2 linked regions of the Nothobranchius furzeri genome follow. The protein of the gene in region 2 interacts with the protein of the main gene of each other region in a biochemical or structural test. Links are inferred from orthologs where the notes say so. Each region holds a gene or a part of one and is shown on either strand. Other genes may lie near its edges.

Evidence for each region. The genes of interacting proteins can lie anywhere in the genome.
Region 1: the proteins of microtubule-associated proteins 1A/1B light chain 3A (region 2) and nbr1a form a complex in vitro, tested with the Homo sapiens proteins (2 studies listed by BioGRID and IntAct). The link is inferred for Nothobranchius furzeri from reciprocal best matches to the Homo sapiens genes MAP1LC3A and NBR1.

Annotation. Positions count from the first base shown.
Region 1 is NC_091756.1:48,484,193-48,490,287, reverse strand, and holds part of nbr1a (NBR1 autophagy cargo receptor a), read right to left. Parts: intron 5,630-6,095; coding exon 5,510-5,629; intron 4,872-5,509; coding exon 4,796-4,871; intron 4,059-4,795; coding exon 3,945-4,058; intron 1,673-3,944; coding exon 1,496-1,672; intron 1,426-1,495; coding exon 1,255-1,425; intron 1,174-1,254; coding exon 1,025-1,173; intron 453-1,024; coding exon 25-452; intron 1-24. UniProt on the Homo sapiens protein: Ubiquitin-binding autophagy adapter that participates in different processes including host defense or intracellular homeostasis.
Region 2 is NC_091743.1:78,249,506-78,256,309, reverse strand, and holds the start of microtubule-associated proteins 1A/1B light chain 3A, read left to right. Parts: upstream 1-2,847; 5' UTR 2,848-2,850; coding exon 2,851-3,016; intron 3,017-4,366; coding exon 4,367-4,422; intron 4,423-6,804. UniProt on the Homo sapiens protein: Ubiquitin-like modifier involved in formation of autophagosomal vacuoles (autophagosomes). While LC3s are involved in elongation of the phagophore membrane, the GABARAP/GATE-16 subfamily is essential for a later stage in autophagosome maturation.

The sequences.
Region 1 (6,095 bases), on a different chromosome or scaffold from region 2:
AAATCTGGAAGAATCCTGTCTAACCTAGGTGAGTAGAGGGTGGGTGGGGGGTGCAGGGGCTGAGGTACGACAGGCAGGGACACCACTTCAGGGGTAAGAGTCACAGCATCGAGTGTTTGGGAAGCGCACAGCATTTGGTTCACACTGCTGTGGATGAGAGAGACGTGCGGGGGCCAGGTGTTCTCCAGTGACTCCTCCACAGCAATGGTCTCCGTCTCCTCTTTCCTCTCCGTCAGCGGCGCTTCCCTGCACGGCTCAGAGTCGCAAGTCTCCTCCTTCTCCTTCTCCTGCTCCGGGTCAGGGTCGGTCGAGGTCCCGGCAGCAACAGTCTCAGGCTGCGACATGGCAGAGCTGTACATGGACTCCCCCAGAGGTCGGCTGGTGTCAAAGCAGTCTGGGAGGACAATGATGTAATCATCGCCGGAGGAGACCGAGGACGTCTGGCTGCTGACCTGAAACACAAGCAGGGGCGTGGACTTTATTATAGGACTATGCTGTCTTTCATGAGTTGAGAACATCATCCCATAATCACTTAACTGAATTTTTCCCAAACAAAAAACATCTATTATTTTGACAAATTCGATATAATCCTAAAAAATGCTAAAGGTCTACAACTCCATGAAGGAAGGCTTTCCACCTACTGCCGTTCATGCCAGATATTCAAACCAGTCTCATGTTGAGAAATGATGGGAGTTGTCTGGGTCGTATCTTGGCTTTGTGAAAAGTGAAATGTAAATAAGTGACACCACTTGCTTTTCCGGTTTTTTTGCAAAGAGACAACAAAGGTTAAGCCTGTTTCATTACTGGGAAATAACCACCTCCTCCCCCTTCAGTCCAACTGATCTCCTCTCAGCTTTGGTCCAAACGTCCTGCTACTATCTATGAAAGATTCAGCAAAATTGTACTTTGTGTTCATCCACTTACTTTAAAGGTCATTTGTAAAAATGTGAATCTGTCTGCAGATGCAAACATTATTTTTGTTACAGCTGAACTCTCGGGAGCTTCCTGTAAGGTGCAAACTAACCTCGTCCCAGTCTTCTCCTCTAGCTCCTCCCTCCTGCTTCTGCTCATTAGTTGGCTTCATGTTTTGCATCGTACGCAAAACTTCTTTGTCCTTGTTGTCGTGCTGCAAACCGGCGTTCAGGTTCTGTTTCTCTGGTTCCAGCAGAACAACTGGCAGAAATGAGCAGAATGTAAATGCAGTGGAGCAGAACCACCACAGACCCACCGTGGATCTGTACGCTCTTCGCTAACCTGGCGTGGGTTCGTCCTCTTCCTCCATGTTTTGGCTGGGGCTTCTGTTCATAGGTGGCGCTAAACTCTCAACTCGATCGGCATTCATCTCCTCCTGTCTCACTTTTTCCTTCTCAGCGTCCTCCGAATCAGCCGTTTTCTCTGAACAGAAGCTTGGGTCGCGGGACACGCCTGCAAATAGATGGAAAATGTAAACATGGAATATTTTAGCCACAAAGGCCGAGTCATGATGGCGCCTCACTTTTCTGTTTGTGGCTGCCATGTTGGGCTCTGCGTAGCGGTCTGTGGTCGGGGGCTTCCTCCAGAGTGAGGGAGCGGATGACCGTCTCACACAGGAACTGAGCTCCGCTGATCTCCTCCTCCTTCTCGTCCTCTTGGGTCACAGACTCCAACACCTCCTGCTGCCTCAGTTTCACTCCTCAGAGAAATAAAGCAGGACACAGATTCAGTTTCCTATCAGAACAAAAACTAACACGTAAAACAGTAATTACTCTTTATTCATTCACTTAACAAATCCTCAAACCTGCCCCAACTTTAATATCCCATCACCAGCACATATCTGCAGATAAAACAGTGTGAAAGGGAGCTGATAGTGTTTTTCACTCCTATTCTAATGTCTCTGCACTGGTTGCCCATTAACTTTAGAGTTCGTTTTAGAATCCTCCCTATATTACTGAACAGTTAAAGCCTTATGCTCCAACCAGAGCCCTCAGGTCCACCCGCCAGAACCTTCTAGAACATGGGTGTCAAAATCAAATTCACACTGGGCTGAAATGAAAATCTGGGACGGAGTCGCGGGCCAAACTTAATATTTTTTGAAAAAGTGATGGCAAATTTGCACATTTTCTTTACGTATCAACATATATGCATGGTGGCACAGTTGTTAGCACTGTTGCCTCGCAGCACGAAGGTTGCAGGTTCGAAACTTGGTTGCAGCCTTTCTGCGTGGAGTTGCGTGTTCTTCCCATGCATGTGTGGGTTTCCTCTGGGTTCTCCGGTTTCCCCTACAGATCATATGCCCTATAGGTTAAAAAAATTGTACGTCGTTTTGGATAAAAGCGTCTGCCAAATAAATAAACATAAATATATGCAATTTTGAACCTTTTAATTTGGAAACAAACTTATTTTTGCATTAACACTGAATGTGGAATAACCAAATTACACACGAGCAAGTCAATTTTAAATAAAATGCATCAGTGGTATTCATTACTTGTGGTACATTTTTTAAATCTATTCAGGATTTATGTTTTCTTGTTTATTCATTTTTCTTATTTTTATTCTCCTTTTTTTCTCCTGTAATAAGTGTCATCGCTGCTGTGACATCTAGCTTTCCCCACTGAGGAACAATAAAGGGATTTTCTATTCTATTCTTCTATCTGCAGCCTTTCCACTTCCTGTTTACTGTAGGTTAAATCTTTTCTCACGGGCCAACAACAAAATAAAAATATAACTTTATCTTAAATGAAAATGCAATATGTCACCTGTTAACTTTCATGTTTTGGAGCAGAAAAAGAGCATAAAACCAACATATGTAAAGCTCAGTTTGCTCCACTGGTTTACTGTGATGCTCACCTGTTCCAGCCAGATACCTGCATCATGGGGTTGATCTGAGCTGAGGAGGAGACTCCTGTTGCTTTGTTCATCTTCATCATAATAATGACAACATTAGATGACAACAGGTGCTCACATAGGTTTGTGCTGATGAACATGGAGACTGAGCAGCTTGACCACGTTGTTGTGTGTCGGGGAGGAAAAATAAAAACGACAGCAGCCACAGAGTCATGCTGGTTTGAGCGTGTCGCTGCTCGCTGGAGTTAGATCAGCTCTGTCTGGAAGTTAGTTGGAAAACTTTCTGTTTCAGTCGTGAACACATTACTGAGCAGTTAAAATCTCCGTTTCTGGGCTTCAACGTCGGCAAGTAGCTGAGTGAACTCGGCGCTGAGTGAGAGGAGTGTTTAGTTTGTCAGAGACAGCGGAGCTGCAGACACCGGCAGCAGACGCTGGAAAAAACACAAAGGAGGGGGCGCTTCGTCTCTGTGCTAATGCCTCAAAGCATCGTGGGAGTTGTAGTATTTGCGGTAAAATCAGCCGGCGGGTCAATTTTAATATATTTTTGACATTTTTCTCGCGGGCCACATAAAAATGCTCCGCGGGCCAGATGTGGCCTTGTGTCTGACACGTGTTCTAGAAGTTCCAAAGACCAGATATAAAAGTCGAGGTGATCACTGCTTCCAGATTGTTGCACCCTGACTTTGGAATGAACTTTCTTTATCCTTACAAGGATTTACATACTGGACACTTAAAATAACAGACCCTTTTATTATAGCAGCTTTTACCTAAATCTTTTTATTTTCCTATTTTTAACTCAAATTTGAAATCATCTTTCATCTGTTTATGACATTTTATGACTTTATTTTGTCTTATGTTAATCTATTTCTGTTTTGAGATCATTTTGATTTTATGACTTTGTTTGAATCTATGTGAAGCACTTTATGATTCTCTGTCTGTGTTAAGTGCTATCTATATAAATACAATTTACTTACCTTTTGCCCGTTATATTCATTTGACCAAAACTATTTTAAATCAGTTTTTTCTCAGATGATCTTGGTAAGAAATGGGGTCAGCTCCCCTTCAAGGATCTTATTTCAACTATTCAAAGAAACACTCCTGAGTTGTGCTGCAAGACTCACCAAAAAGTTTTCTGACTCCCGTGGTCTCAGGGGGGTCTTCTTTCATTGGTGTAACAACGGACTTCTCCAACACCGGTGCATCGTGGGGAAGAGGCGATATGCAGGGAGTCAAGTCTAGAAATAAACACCAGCACGACTCGCTTTATGTGCCAACATGTGAAAATGATCTCTACAGGTGAGAATAACGTTGGAAAAGATGAAGCACAGCACCAGCTTCTCCTATTTGGCTCTTAAGAGATTTAGAGGGAAGGAGGCAGCAAACTAAATAATAATAATACCGTATTTTCCGGACTATAAGCCGCTACTTTTTCCCACGCTTTGAACCACGCGGCTTATAATGAGGTGCGGCTTTAGTCAACCAGAAAGGATGGATGCTGGAAAGTCTAATGAAGGAATGGTTGAAGGAGTGCTACGGAAAGCGCCCAGGAGGATTTTATTCACAGTAAAACGGCGCTGCTTGTTTTCCCAGCTTCACCCCGGGATGATGACAGCAACACGGAGAGCGACACTGACACCGCCACAGAAAAGGTATGTGACGAAGCTCTTCTGAGGCTGTTCAACTCCGACACTGATGAAGATGACTTCAGTGGTTTCAGTGCGCAGGAGGACGATGAATAAACTAATCAATAACTTTTCTGTTTTGTTTGCTACTGATCAGTTCAGTTACGTTCAGTTAAACTACGTTTCAATTCAGTAGATATCTGCGGCTTTTAGCCCGGTGCGGTTTATATTGAGGTGCGCTCTATTGTCCGGAAATTACGGTAGTAATAAAAATAATAATAATAATAATAAACCAGCGGCTCAGGTGAAATCTCATGCCACTAAAGTTTGAAGCATCAGGCGTGACTCACCCACAGGAGTGTTGTTGGGAACCTTTTCCAACTCTTGTACAATATTAATGTCCAGCAGTTCAAAAGACAGTAGATCCTAAGATGATAAAACAGAAAAGAGACACTTAATATTAATCTGATATTCAAACGTAAAACTAATTTTTCACAGTACTGCAATAGAAAAAGAAGTAATCCAATATTAAACTGAAAAAATTAGCAAATCTGTAGCTGGAGGAACAGTTCAAGGATCAAGAGTGTTGAAGACAAGTCTGGTTGGACAATTGATTTCAGTCTTTTCTCACATGATCAAAAATCTGAACCTGTTGGGCAAACACAACATTAAAAGTCACGTGTTCATGACTGTGGGGCTAAAAACAACAGATGGTGTTAGGACACAGAATGACGTGTTCCTGCTCATGGTGATCTGAATGCCACCATGAGCCAGGAAGAAAGTCAGAAACAACACAAACACTAGCTTTTGAGTGCAACAAAGAGGAGTAGAACATGCGGCTGCTTGTTTTGAAATAAAACTCAACTTTATCCACATTTGTGAAATTTAGAAATATAATAAAAGGCTTGTGACAACCAGTTTGGAGAGGGAAACTGCACCACTTACATGTGCTGCATAGCTAAACTGTGTGCCTCCAACTGAGGTGCACATTCTTTCTTAAACGGTGGAATAAAACAAGACTAAAATCTGATGTTAAAAGGTGTCTGGGCTCTCCGAGTGTGCACCTGTGCAGTCAGCAGGTCGACTGATGGAAAGTAGTAGTCTTCATGGGGGAGGTCTACAGTGAAGGCACAGCCACTGTCCCTGGTTCTTACCTCCTTCTCCACTGGCTTCACTTCCTCCTTCTAAAGCACAAACAGGAAGGGCGTCAGTAGCGTCACTACAAAGTCCAATCAAACATTCCCACTTACATTCTAGCATCCTCAAAATACCAAAGAGTTTCAATTACTCTTATTTTAAAGAGATTTTTAACTTCCCAGAATCTCACTGGGCAACAAATAAACACGAGGGAGTTCCCAAAACGCATCAAATCTTCACCAGGGCTCTCGACCTCCTCCTGCTTGAGTCACTGAAATGTTGATCAAGAAAAATATCCTCTTAAAAAAGTTCACTTGAACCATTTTAATTCAGCTTCTCAGTCTGAAAGTGAAACAAAGATGGGAGGGTTTGGGATGCTTCTGCAAAGCAAGTTTGACATCAAAAATAAATTAAATGTTACCAAAGTTGTTATTTGTTTGTAGTTGGGCCTCGTGGGACCTGAGCATAGAAAACCTTTTGCAGAAGTGCCATACAAACAACTGTTGTGATTCC
Region 2 (6,804 bases):
GACGCAGCCTTGTGCCTGCACCAACGCAAGCTCAGACAACAAGGAAATCACAGCCCTTAATATTCATTTTGGCTCACGACAGGGAAGGCTGTTGTAGGTTTAGTGTCCAGAAGAAGAAGAAAAGATCTTTTCTATAGCGCCTCTCAAGGTAAAAATCACAAGGCGCTTCAGGAAACAGTAGAGAACGTCTCGGCTAGTAGAAGCTAACTGTTAGCATTAGCAACTCCACCACACAGCAGAACTCTCCAGGCTTGTGTTATTTGTAGAGATCAACATTGCATAGTAAACAGAGTCAGTGGTAGAGTTGTGTTGCTGTTAGCCAATCAGAGGAGAGATGTCCACATATCAGGAAAAGACTCCAGATGCTGCCATCTGAAGCTTCTAGAGACCACTGCAAATGTATGTGTGGCATAAAAATCGACTGACGTTTTATCCAAAACCAGCAACGCCACCTTGGGAATTTCACCCAAGGACTTAGTTTGAAATGACTGTAAGGCACTTGGGTTCGTTTTTGCCCAAGTAGTTGTGGCTTCAGATTGTTAAAACCATTTATTACAACAGAAATTGGAATAATACCCATTAAAAATGACCTAAATCAGTTTAGGACTGACTTTAATGCCCTGGTAAAAACCTCCGAGGTTTACCAGTGGGGCAGGGCTAACCACAGGCCAGTGACAACACCACCCACCACCATGTCACCTGCTGTGGACACACACAGAGAGCATGTGATAAACTTCCACTGTTATGCTGACGTTACTCAGTTATATCTATCCATTAACCCTGATGAACCTAATCAGTTAGTTAGATTACAGGCTTGTCTTGATGGCATAAAAAGTTGGATGACTCAAAACTTTCTGCTTTTAAATCAAGACAAGATAGAAGTTCTAATCTTTGGACCCGAAATTCAGAAAAGGAAACTGCTTAATCAATCACCTGACCTGAACGGCATTAAAATAGTCTCCGAGAACAAAGTAAGGTACCTTGGTGTTATCTTCGACCAGGACATGTCATTCAAATCCCACGTTAAACAGGTTTGTAGGATTTCCGTTTTCCACCTTCGGAATATTGCTAAGATTAGAAGCATCCTTTCCAGTAGTGATACTGAAAAACTAGTTCATGCATTTATTACATCAAGACTGGATTACTGTAATTCATAACTCTCGGGAAGTCCACAGAATGTAGTTAAAAATCTTCAGCTTGTCCAAAATGCTGCAGCTAGAGTTCTGATGAGAATTAAAAAGAGAGATCATATCTCTCCTGTCCTAGCTTTCCTACATTGGCTATCTGTTAAATTCAGAATAGCCTTTAAGATCCTCCTTCTCACACATAAAGCTCTTAATAATAAAGCTCCATCATACATTAGTGATCTGATTGTTCCATACGTTCCTAACCGAGTACTTTGCTCTCAGAGTGCAGGTTTACTGGTGGTTCCCAGAATATCTAAAAATAGGATGGGAGGCAGATATTTTAGCTATCAGGCTCCTCTCTTGTGGAACCAGCTCCCAGCTTTAGTCCGTGAGGCAGACACCGTCTCTACTTTTAAGACTAGGCTAGGTTATCCAGAGTTATCTCTGTAGATATGCTGCTATAGGCTTAGAATGCTGGAGGACATACTGACCACTTTCCACACTCTACTACTTTCTTCTACAATCTGCTCTTTAACTGCATTATTTCCTGCTATTTCAGCTGTTAACTTTATTTTTACTCTTAAGTGTTTTCCTCCCCAGAAGAAGCTACAATGATGTTCTGCTGAGCTGTAGTGGCCTCATGGAGGGGGCCATTGGCTAGCACACTGCTGCTAACCACTTCTCCCTCTCCTGACAATAACATTTTACTCTCTTTGACATTGAATGTGCTACTCCTAGTTTACCAGATTAATTATAGATTCACTAGGATAAATACAATAAAGTTTATCTCACCAAATAGAATGTTTACTAAGAAACACAAAATTCCTGTTAAAAGGGAGTTTTTCTCTGCACTGTCGCTGCATTCTTAGTATGAGGTGACTCGATGCAACCTGCTGGGTTCCTTAAATAGGAAACTTTTTACTGATTGGCTTAATGACCTGACCTGTATTGGAATGTTTACTGTGTGAAGGTCCTTGAGACGACTCTGGTCCTGATTTGATGCTTTATAAATAAACTTGAATTGAATTGTAGAGCGCCATGTTCTTTCCAATTTTCTAGAGTTTTGTTTTAAAGTTTGTAAATCAGAATTAAACCAGGGAGCCAACTTCCTGTGCTTAATTACCTTTTTTAAAGGGGCAACATCATCTAATGCCACACGTAAAGAAGTAACATTATGAACTAAATCATCAATTTGTGAGGGGCTAGAAATGAAAATATTGCCCTCTGCTACAGTCCTCTGAGATGCTGAGGACAGTAAAGATGGAATAATTGATTTAAAAGATGCAACAGCCTTGTCAGATAAAGACAGACTATAGTGAAATTTACTTTCATGTCTCTAGAACTCAGTTATAAAAAAACTCAAAGGTGATCAAAAAGTGGTCCGAGAGGACTGGATTATGTGGAAATATCGTTATTTTCCTCACACTCTATGCCATAAATCAGCACAAGGTTTAATGTATGATGCCAGGAGTGGGTGGAGCTATGCATTCTTTGGGTAAAACCAGTATATTACTAAAGGCTACACTGAGGCTATCATTTTCAATGTCCACATGAATGTTAAAATCCCCCACTACCATGACCTTATCAGTATTTAGCACCAAATCAGATAAAAATCAGAGATCTGATCCAGAGACGGCCTCAATTTTACTGACAGGAACTGAATAACTTTTCTGAATATTAAATGACAACTTGGCTTGCCTCACTCACCTCCATAAGGCAGCGGATGACGTCAGCGCGTCAGATTACTGGCTTTGTTTGTACGGAGCTGCTGCGGAGCTTCAGACCGAGCCATCTGAAACCCTCCCAGGGCCGTTTTCATCACCTTCTTTCGCCTGAAGCCGCTGCCGGGATGCCGTCGGACCGACCGTTCAAGCAGCGGAGAACGTTCGGTAAGACGGTGCTGTCTACAGCTAGCGTTAGTGCGTTTCAATGCGTAGGTTCACACCGGATTTAACGTGTTTACATGTGTTGATGGTCGGTCTGTAGCTTCACGGTAAACGGGGTCAATGTGACGCCGCAGCCTTTACACAACCGGATCAGCTCCGTGACCCACCGCGAGGCCAAAACAACAAGTTGTGCTGAAACATGACCCCTACACGTATTCTCTGATTAAATCGGTCACCTGACAGGAGGGGAGGAGTCTGGCAGTGACCCGCTCACCTGAACGGACCAGCTGTCAGTGTCAGAAACATGAATATCAAAGCAAGGTGAGAACTATGTAGATGAACACCTGGAACGGGTTGATAGAAAGCTCTAAAACTGGAGTTTCACCTGGAACACCCTAACATCTCTGACTGGAACCACAGGATGATGTCATCAGGAAGAGACCCATCCGGCCAATGGCGAAAATGATAACCACGATTATTTTGGTTGATGCAAATATATCGCGGGATCAGGTCGCGAGGCAGTAGTCTAAGCAGGGAGGCCCAAGCTTGAAATCAGGTGTGTTGAAACTGGGAAAACACTAAAACATGTGGGATAGTGGGCCTTGAGGACCAGAGTTTGACACCCATGCTAAGGTCCAGAACGTGGTTATGATGGTTTCATTTAGAAATGAGTTTCATCCATCCTCTTCCGTTTATCTGGAATCTGGTCATGGGGGGCAGCAGCCTAAGCAGGGAGCCCAGACTTCCCTCTCCCCAGCCACTTGGGCCAGCTTCTCCGGGGAATCCCAAGGCGTTCCCTGGCCAGCTGAGAAACATAGTCCCCTCAGTGTGTCCTGGGTCTTCCTTTAGGTCTTCTCCCAGTTGGATGTGCCTGGATAACCTCACCAGGGAGGCGTCCAGGAGGCACCCCAACTAGAAGCCCGGGCCACTTCAACCGGCTCCTCTCGATGTGGAGGAGAGGCGGGTCTAGTCCGAGCTCCTCCCGGATGACTGAGCTTCTCACCCTATCTATAATTCCGTTTATTTATAAAGCGCCAAATCCCGACAAGTCCTCTTAAGGCGCTTCTCAAAGTAAACATTCCAATAGTTCAGTTCATTAATGCAATCAGTAAAAAGTTTCCTATATAAGTAACCCAGCAGGTTGCATCGAGTCACTGACTTGTGTCAGAGACTTCACAGGAAGAAACCTCCAGAGGATCCTGGATCAGCATAAGCAGCCATCTGCAGTGACACACGGAGTCGAAAGCCTACCATCCAAAATGGCTGCAATATGGCCACCAATCCAAAACACATCTTCTCTTGTTGCTGTAAACTTCCTAATCTCATCATGCTGTCTATTTGTTTTGTCGACAGCTGATCGATGCAAAGAGGTCCAGCAGATCCGAGAGCAGCACCCAAACAAGATCCCTGTAAGCTGCACACGCACGAACCTGGGGGGTAGTCCACAAAGCGAGTTTAGAACATCGATGCCTTCCTGATAAATGCCTGCCTAACAAAGTGCATCTGTGCACTCAAGGATCTGTCGGTTCCACCGACTATGCTCAGGTGGATTCAGTTCTCTTTAATTCAAGTGAACCTCACAGGCAGCCTCTGTTAATTGATGCTGGATAACTGAGAAGGGAAGCAAAGTGTTTTGCTCTTCTCTTAGACGGAACATTCATGCCCACGAGGACTATCTGAACTAAAACAGAGACCGCCAGCTGCTTGGTTATAGCCATGTATCTGGCGCTATTTAAGCCGAGCTTATGCTTCTGAGTGTGCGTCGGTACCAAGGGATCAAGGCCGCTGGCTTTGCTCCAGCATGGAAGTACCAAAAATTACAGTTCCACCCTCATCCGCTAGGGGCTAGTACCAAAACAGAGCAAGTTCCCTTTGACTCCCATGTTAAAAAAGCCAGTTTCACAGCATAAATAAACACATTTACAGCCTGGTTCAAAAAGCCATTCTAGGTTTGACTGATCTTTCTAACATTTATGACAACTCTGAGGGGGTGAGTTATTTTATAACTCTTTGACTGTAATTAAATGCTTGAAATTATGAATAATTATTGAGCACCAGAGCTACAAGCTAGCTCTAGGAAAGGCCTCATGTTAATGGACGTTCGGCCATTTTGACTCTGAACTTTAGCTGTGTCCTCTGTGGGTTTGTGCTTGGATGTAAGGGACAGCAGCAGCTCAGGAGGTAGAGTGGGTTGTCCAGTAATCGGAAGGTTGCAGGTTCAATCCCGGCTCAGACCAGAGAATTCTGTCATTGTGTCCTTGGGCAACACACTTAACTCGCCTTGCTGGAGGTGGTCGGAGGGACCGGTGGCGCCTGTGTTCAGCAGCCTCGCCTCTGTCAGTGCGCCCCAGGGCAGCTTTAGCTACGATGTAGTTCATCACCACCAGCGTATGAATGGGTGAATGACTGTGTTGTGAAGCGCCTTGGGGGGTTGTAGAACCCTAAGGCACTATACAGATACAGGCTATTTACCATTTAATCATCGGATTATTTACCATACCATACCATACCAATTTTATTTATATAGCACATTTAAACACGGCATGAGAGCCGACCAAAGTGCTGAACAAAACACACAATAAAAACAATCAAAAATAAAAACTAAATCCATTAAAATCAAGTAATCCAACCCTAAAAGGAAAGGTAGAAAGGGAATAAGTTAGACAGAATTAAAAGCCAGAGAATAAAAGTGAGTTTTTAAACGAGACTTAAAAAGGGAAAGAGAGGAAGAGAGTCTGATCGGGAGGGGCAAGTGGTTCCAGAGCTTCGGTGCACAAACTGAAAAGGCGCGCTCCCCGCGGGACTTACAGCGAGAGCTAGGGACATGTAGGAGGTGTTGGTCAGCTGATCGGAGAGATCTTGTAGGGACATATGGGTGAATGAGCTCAGACAAGTAGCCAGGTGCTAAGTTATTTAGGGATTTAAACACAAAAACCAGGATCTTAAACTCTATCCGGAGATGGATGGGGAGCCAATGAAGATTTGCTAAAACCGGTGTGATGTGTTCCCGCTGCCTGGTGCCAGTCAAGAAACGAGCTGCTGCGTTCTGCACAAGCTGAAGTTGAGCGAGAGTGGAGGAGGAGATACCGTATAGCACTGAGTTAGAGTAGTCGAGACGGGAAGTAATAAATGCATGGACAACTGAATGAAGATGACGCCTTTTTAAAATGGGCTTAACTTTAGAGAGACGCCTCAGGTGGTAATAACAGATCTTAACTACCTGGTTGACATGAATGTCCATTTTTAGTTTAGCGTTCATCACAACCCCTAAGTTTGTGACACGGTTTTTCAACCCACTTGTGATAAATGGAAGGGTCAGTTGGGGACTTTGAGAAGTACCAGGGCTGAAAATGATGGCCTCTGTCTTAGCGTCGTTCAGCAAAAGAAAGTTTTCTGACAGCCAGCTCTTCACATCATTACAGCATTCAACAAGGGGCAGTAAGGAGTCATTAGGCTTCACAGAGGCATATAATTGGCAATCGTCTGCATAAAAATGGTAATCAATGTGGTGTTTTTTAAAAATGTCACCCAGGGGCAAAATATATAAATTAAATAAAAGGGGTCCAAGAATAGAGCCCTGGGGAACACCACAAGTCAAAGCCGCAGAGGGGGAGGCAGCACTACCCATCATAACATTAAAGGTGCGGTCACAGAAGTAGGACCTAAACCAGTCTAAGGCAGTCCCCTGGATTATTTGGACACAGAGGGCAAGCTGCGGTTGCTGACGGCACTAACAGGTCATCCAAGCAGTTTCTGCTTCTTTTTTATCAGCAAGTAAAATTATTTTTCTG